Rattus norvegicus: one gene and its partner. The protein of the gene in region 2 purifies or fractionates together with the protein of the main gene of each other region. This does not show direct contact. Links are inferred from orthologs where the notes say so. Each region holds a gene or a part of one and is shown on either strand. Other genes may lie near its edges. The genes, in order: Actr3b and Arpc3.

Evidence for each region.
Region 1: the proteins of Arpc3 (region 2) and Actr3b purify together in Homo sapiens (affinity purification with mass spectrometry; 6 studies listed by BioGRID and IntAct, counting the BioPlex papers as one, with this or other methods). This does not show direct contact. The link is inferred for Rattus norvegicus from reciprocal best matches to the Homo sapiens genes ARPC3 and ACTR3B.

Annotation. Positions count from the first base shown.
Region 1 is NC_086022.1:9,995,351-9,999,014, forward strand, and holds the end of Actr3b (actin-related protein 3B), read right to left. Parts: intron 2,384-3,664; coding exon 2,258-2,383; intron 1,659-2,257; coding exon 1,575-1,658; intron 1,079-1,574; coding exon 983-1,078; 3' UTR 805-982; downstream 1-804. UniProt on the Homo sapiens protein: Plays a role in the organization of the actin cytoskeleton.
Region 2 is NC_086030.1:39,840,878-39,844,687, forward strand, and holds part of Arpc3 (actin-related protein 2/3 complex subunit 3), read right to left. Parts: intron 2,831-3,810; coding exon 2,731-2,830; intron 2,100-2,730; exon of another isoform or gene 1,957-2,099; intron 1-1,956. UniProt on the Homo sapiens protein: Component of the Arp2/3 complex, a multiprotein complex that mediates actin polymerization upon stimulation by nucleation-promoting factor (NPF).

The DNA of each region.
Region 1 (3,664 bases), on a different chromosome or scaffold from region 2:
CTGGACACCCTAAGGATGTACCCACCCCCTCCAAGACAAAACAGGTTATCCACCCAGTCTTGGGTAACATCAATTTTAACACACACGCACACACACACACACACACAGGTGCACACGCACGCATGCATGCACACAGTATCAGTCATCTATCATCTGCAAACCTGTGGAGTCCAAGGTTCTCAAGAGACACCACAAGGAACAGTTGTAAAGATTCTAGCAGCTTTTATTACAACAGTGCAATAGTATTTCATCCCACACTCAACAACATAAACCATCATCTTCTATAAAGCAGCTTCAGGAAGTTCAGATCCATCTGTAGCAACTCCCACCCAGTCCTGGTGAGTGCCCAGATGTCACACCACCCCACCAACATGTGATCACTGCCCAGCAGACATGTGGCATTGGGCCTGCTGTTTTACTTGCCTGTACAGACATCAGAGCATGCCTCACAATTAAGCACTTTATTACAGAACTCTGTGACATCCATGAACTCTGTGACTACTCATGCTTAATATTAGCCGGTTATACCAAATGCCATAAAATACAAAATGATAGGAAATATAAACATCAATTTGTATTTCAAGTTTATAACATTTTATTTACAAAAATAGGCTGGGAAGGCCAGGGTTCCTCCACCCTTCAGTCTGTCCCGGAGAAACCACTTGCATCACGTGTTCCTCTGGTAGTTTCTAAGGTTGCAATGGACTCCTTCAGAGCTATGCTCGCCTAGAAGCTCAGGTGGAAAGGAGAGAGAGTGGGAGGGGCAGGAGGGGAGGGGGATGGGAGGAGGACCACGAACAGTCGCACCGGATAAATGGCTTTACTGGGAAGACTGTGCCCGGCCCCGAGCACCGGCCATGAAATCACGCTGCTCACACACTGATTCCACACTGCTATGTACAGGAGCCAAGGCTGCTCTGGGTTCTGAAGGACACTTATTCCCCAACAGGACACTGTCAAGACAATGGCTCTGAGGCAGACACTAGGACATGACTCCGAAGACGGGGTTGTGGCGGCAGATGCTGGGGCCGTATTCCTCATAGTCCTTCTTGGTGTGGCAGACCTGAAAGAACTCCGGCTGCAGGAGAAGCAGCCAGCGGAAGGAAGATGATGAGCAGGGGAAGAGGCTATCCTTATCCCCAGGTCCCCCTGCCAAGCACTGTTCTAAACCTGGTGACAAACCAGGCAGAAGTTTATTTCGCTTTTTAAAATTCACTCAGCAATTTCCAACATTGGAAAGCAACAATAAACTTACTCAGTTTCCCTTACTGGGTTCAAATATGTGTCAATGTGAACTAAAAATAACTGCCAACAACATTGAGGGGGAAATAAATAAATAAATAAATAAATAAATAAATAAATAACCAACCAACCAACAACTTGGAAAGGACAATGAGTAGGGTGTGTGTTAACGAGACATACAATTTAAATGGTAGCTAAAACATTTTTACATCAAACAGAATTCATTTTGCCTATTGAAGGCCATGCAAACAGAACAGATGCTGTTTCGTGTTTGTATCCAAACTCCATAGGGAAGCAGGAAGGACAACAGAGCAGTCGAGAAAGGGACTCACAGTCGAGGCGAGCATAGAGCCTCCAAACCAGACGGCGTAGCGCTGCATGTGGTGTGTGATCACCTGCACCTCCACAGGCTTAGGCTGCAAAGGCAAGCAACCGCGTTTAGTCTGCACAGTACATCCTTCCACCAGTGTGACCATGACGGACCCTGAGCTCCTCCAGTGACGGCCTCAGCCGCACCGCACTGTCAGCCCAGGAGATTCAGGGGAGGACGTGCTCGTGCCTAGCTGAGGCCCCCTCTTCCAGTACTGAAACACATCACTAACCTAGCATTAATCAAACAAATCATTGGGCTTAGCAAGGTCAATAACAAAGTGAACCCCCAAACACTAAAACAAAACAAACATTGTAACGGGCACCTCACTGCACTGGGCTCTCTGCTCCCTCTTCCCTACCAAATCCCACCTCAGGGAGAAGCCCATGCAGCACCGGGCAGCTCAGAGCTGTGGCCTTGGAGAAGCACAGCCTGGTTCCCTGCACACACAGGTTATTCCCTCACCATTGTCTCTGCAGCACCCTGGTCACACACACTGATGCCTCATCTTGCAAAAGAGAGTCTGAGTGGTCTTAAGGACGTCTCCCTTTGGACGTGTGAATTTGGGCATCACACCTCACTGCCTGCCCCCCCCCACACACACACACTGACATGGCGGACAGCAGCCTGCACACAGCCTCCTACCTTTATCCTGCCCCCGCTGAGCTCTTGGCTCAGCTTTAACCTGGCGTCCACCACTCTCTTCAAATCTCTCTGCAGACGGCGTCCAAAATCTCTGAACATTGTGGAGCCTCCAGAGAGAACGATGTTCTGAAAGACCAAAGTGGACAGTGAGCCGCCTCGGGTGACACCAAGCTGTCTGTGATGGTCTCATCACTGCCCCACAGCAGGGCTGCTGGGTAAGCAGCACACTGACGCAGACGCAGACACTAACTGAGGCATGAACGCCTGCCGTCGGGAGCTGAAGGCAGACTGCTGCTGGACCGCCTGCATTCCGACGGCAGTACAACTGCAGGGGCATGGAGAGGTCGGGATGCTGCAGCTCCAGAGGCAAGCTGCCTACCTCAGGCTAGCTTTAGTCCTGGGTTAACCATTCCTTGTCCACCCCTGTGCCAGAACAAACATCCTGTGACTGATGTATAAAAGTAAGGTATTAGCTTAGAAGATCCCTAGTTTCCACCAAACCAAAAGCTAACTAAGGCAGTTAGCAAATAGCATCTGCCTACAGAAACGCAGACGCCCATCCTGCTGTATCCACCTCCCTTATGTGCCCACCAGTGTAGTTTAAACTTTTTTTGATCTACAACTTTCTTTGATCTGTAAAACTCTGAAATTGCTTCCACATTGGAGCATGGAACCTGGGGTAGCCTCAATCTGCATTTCCGGGCCTTGGTGCTGTAAAGTCCTCTCCAGAGTAAGTCCTGATTTCCTTTAACAGTGAGAGCTGTCCCTTTTCATCTGCAGGGAGAATCAGACACAGCCTGGCTGCAGAATCTTCCTGAGAAACTTTCATCCTTCCTCAGAGAAAAGGGGCTATAAAAAGGCACTCTTGCCTCATAGGCTGATTCTCCTCAGAGCTCTGCCATGCTGTCTGTCTGTCTGTCTATGTCACCAGGGCCTGAACTCCCCAGAGTTTCCAACATGTCTATTACCCACAGCATTAATAACTGACTTCCTTGAATCCCTCACCTGAGACCTTACTTAGCCAAAAGGCATGGGTTATATTTTTTTCTTGTGACGGCTTGCCACCAATCATTCCCCTGGTACTTCCTTCACCGTAAGCAATTGAAAGCACAAAGCAGCGTGTGCCCGAGCTCCCCCTGCCCTGGGGCAGAACCCTGACAAGAGCCAAGACGACAGAAAAGCCACATTCACTGACAGGCAGGTTCCACACAAATCACTAACATGGATCTTCAATTCTTTTTGCCATAATAGCCAACAGGGCAACAGGGCCTTCCGCTCACACTGGAACCCCTTCAGAGCAGCAGTGTGGAAAAGAGGCACACTCAAATCACCCGGGGAACATTTTCAAATGCGTCCTCCCTCTGCCCACAGCCCCACGAATGCGCCAGCCTCTATCATGTGACTGCA
Region 2 (3,810 bases):
AACAGAAAGGACGTTGTTGGCGGAACATCTCAAGACATGTCAGCTTAGGGAACAGTGAAAAGTTACCTCAGGAACTGAATGGGGAATCCAGAGTACAGCTGAGGGCGGAGTGGACATTGCACCCTGATGACTGCAAACACTTAACAACAGGTGGTAAAAGTGGGTAACCCCAAAATTCTCAGACCAGACTGGGAAACAAAGCTGTGATCTGCTGGAGGCAGAGGCAGGCAGTATTTCTGTGGTTTGAGGGCAACCTGGTCTACAGTATGAGTTCTAGGACAGTGAGGACTATACAGAGAAACTCTGTCTTAAAACACACATACACAGGGTTGGGGATTTAGCTCAGTGGTAGAGCGCTTGCCTAGCAAGCGCAAGGCCCTGAGTTCGGTTCCCAGCTCTGAAAAAAAGAAAAGAAACACACACACACAACCAAAATGGACCAGTAAACAGACACTTTTCAAACTAAAACATGAATGGCCAGTAACTATCTTGAAAAGTGTTCAACACCTCTGGTCTCAGGGGTACACAATTTAAATGCTCTGAGTGAGACACTACCTCACCATAGCCAGAAGCCGATCATTAGGAACTCTGACACCATGAGGTGCAGTGGCCAGCCATGGCAACACAGCAAGACCTTGTCTTTAAAAAACAACAAAGTTGGGGCTCGAGACCCCATATGAACAACAATGCCAACCAACCAGAGCTTCCAGGGACTAAGCCACTATACATGGACTGACCCTGGGCTCCAACCTCATAGGTAGCAATGAATAGCCTAGTGAGAGCACCAGTGGAAGGGGAAGCCCTTGGTCCTGCCAAGACTGAACCCCCAGTGAACATGATTGTTGGGAGGAGGGCGGTAATGGGGGGAGGATGGGGAGGGGAACACCCATATAGAAGGGGAGAGGGAGGGGCTAGGGGGATGTTGGCCCAGAAACTGGGAAATGGAATAACAATCGAAATATAAATAAGAAATACTCAAGTTAATAAAGATAAAAAAAAGAAAACAAACAAACAAACAAACAAAAAAACCAAAGTTATGGGCTGGAGAGATGGCTCAGTGGTTAAGGGCACTGACTGCTTTTCAGAGGACCTGGGTTCTGTTCCCAGCACCCACATGGTGGCTCACAACCATCTGTAATGAGATCTGATGCCCTCTTCTGGTGTGTCTGAAAATAGCAACAGTGTACTCATATAAATAAAACAAATAAGAGGGGTTGGGGATTTAGCTCAGTGGTAGAGCGCTTGCCTACGGAGCGCAAGGCCCTGGGTTCGGTCCCCAGCTCCGGAAAAAAGAACCAAAAAAAAAAAAAAAAAAAAACCAAAAAAAAAAACAAACAAACAAACAAAAAAAAAAAACAATAAAAAAAAACACAAATAAGTCTTAAAGGAAAAAAAAAAAAAGACTGAAGTACGGAAGCACACGCCTGTTACCCCAGACCCGGGGAAGAAGGCAGGAAGGGAGCACACGCCTGTTACCCCAGACCCGGGGAAGAAGGCAGCAGGAGCACCACAACTGAGGCTGGCTTGTTTGACCTCCAGGCCCACCAGGGTTTCAGAGAGAGATTTTTCTTCTCACATATCCAAGCAAGGCTTAAATAACACTGGGGTATGGTAAGAAACTGACAGAGGGCTGCAGAGATGGCTCAGTGGGTAAGAGGGCTTGCAGAGAAAGCTTGATCACCTGAGTTCGAATCCCCAGGACTCAGTGTAAAGTCAGACGTGGTTTAGTGATTTATGGTTTATTATCCTCTCACCTCCAGTTGTGGGCGGTGGCTCACATGGGCCCTCACATACAAATCAGAATGAAAAGAAAATGACTACTTTTTTGTTTTTAAAGTTGACCAAAGAAATAATAGCTTTGGTGGAGAAAGGTTCATTTTCCTTCCATTTTTTGTAAATTTTATTTATTATTATTATTATTATTATTATTATTATTATTATTATTATTATTTTTATATATGTGGGCAGCCAAAGGAAGGCAAAGGAAACAAGTATTCCCTGTTCACCAGAGACCTTGGGCATGCCTGGCTTTCTTCCAAGTTGCTACGTCCCTGAAAAGGGCACACAGTCAGCCCTTTGGAGAGGGAATCACCTTGGACTTCCTTCCATTTTTGGAGACAGGTTTCGCCCTTGCTTAGGCAGGTCTTGAACTACCAGACTCCAACCACCTCCTACCTCAGCCTCCTAGGTACTGCCCGTGCCCACGTAACGCTGTCTGTTGCTTATTTTGTCCAGCATGGTGACAGAAGAAGGCTGGGGACCTGCCATTCAGCCAGTCTGAAATGACTGACAGTGCCTGTGGGGACTGTGGCCAGAATTCAACACATTTCCTCTTTTTTTTTTTTTTTTTTTTTTTTTTGAGACAGAGTTTCAAGTAGCCCAAGTTGGCCTAGAACTTGCTGAGAATGACTTTGAACTTCTGATCTTCCTGCCGCCTCCTCCCAAGTGCTAGGATTATAGGTGTGCGCCCCAACACCTGGCTCTCAGTGTACCGTAGATGGGACCCAGGCTCTCCTCCATGCCAAGCAAGGTCTCTACCAACCCGGCCACATTTCCTTTAAGCTCACGCAAACATCCTAGGTTTTGAGAAAGCAGCTTCCTGTGGCGTGGGTAACTGTGATGCCGCCCCGTAGAGTGTAACAGGAAGCTGAGTACACGTGAATCAAGCTAAGCTCGTTCTCAAGTCAGCAGGTCTGTCTTGACCCCGAACAAAAGGACAGCGAGACTTACTCTCTCGAGGGGCGGGTCCTTTGAACTGGCTTCGGATGGGCAGCAGTGCCATGTTGCCAATGAGCTTGGTGTCAGGGTCCATGAGAGAAGAGTGGTAAGCCTGCGGAAGGAAGCCAGCAGGGGAGAAAGAACAAGTGTCACTAGGAGACAAGGCTAGTCCTCCAAAGGAAAACACCCTCAGGACCAACTGTGGGAGGAGAGGGCTGGTGGCAGCTACAGAGAGACAGCTCCTGACTCAAGAGAACAGACTGGTGGATTCTGAGACGTTCTGTCAGCTGGTTAGTGAGCACAGCCGTTCCCTAGACATTCACTGCAGAGACCACACAAAACAGGCTTCCCACCCGCCAGCTAGCCAGGACCCAAGCCCTAGTTTTGAAATCTGCCACTTCCTGCCTTATGACCACAACATGACTCTTCCTTGAACTTGTTTCCCCACCCCCAGCCCCTTCAACCACAACACGTAGCCCAGGCTGGTGGTCTCTCACTCTCACTCACTATGTAGGTGAGGATGACTTTGAACACCTTTAAAATTTATTTTATTTATATGAGTACACCTTAGCTATCTTCAGACACACCAGAAGAGGGCATCAGATCTCATTACGGATGGTTGTAAGCTGCCATGTAGTTGCTGGGATTTGAACTCAGGACCTCTGGAAGAGCAGTCAGTGCTCTTAACCACTGAGCCATCTCTCCAGCACCAACTTTGAACTTCTACCTCCCCTGCCCAATGCTGGGATGACGGGCCTAGATAACCACAGAACTGGCGACTAAACCAGGGCTTCAGGCACCCTAGGCAACTGCTTGCTCTACCAACTAAGCTCTACTCAGGTTCCCACTAGCTTTTCATGTCTTGTGTGAACGAAACCATTCATTCATTCATTCATTCATTCATTCATCAAATGACCGCTCGGCACCTTTTCTGTGCAAGATACGAGTGACAGTGTGACTTTTTTTTTTAAAGATTAAAAAATAATCTTAATTGTGTGTACGCTTGTATCTGCGGACGGGTATTTCTGTATGTATACAGTATCCACGCACTCCAGCAGATGGCGCTGGGGTCCCTGGAGCTGGAACTAGGCA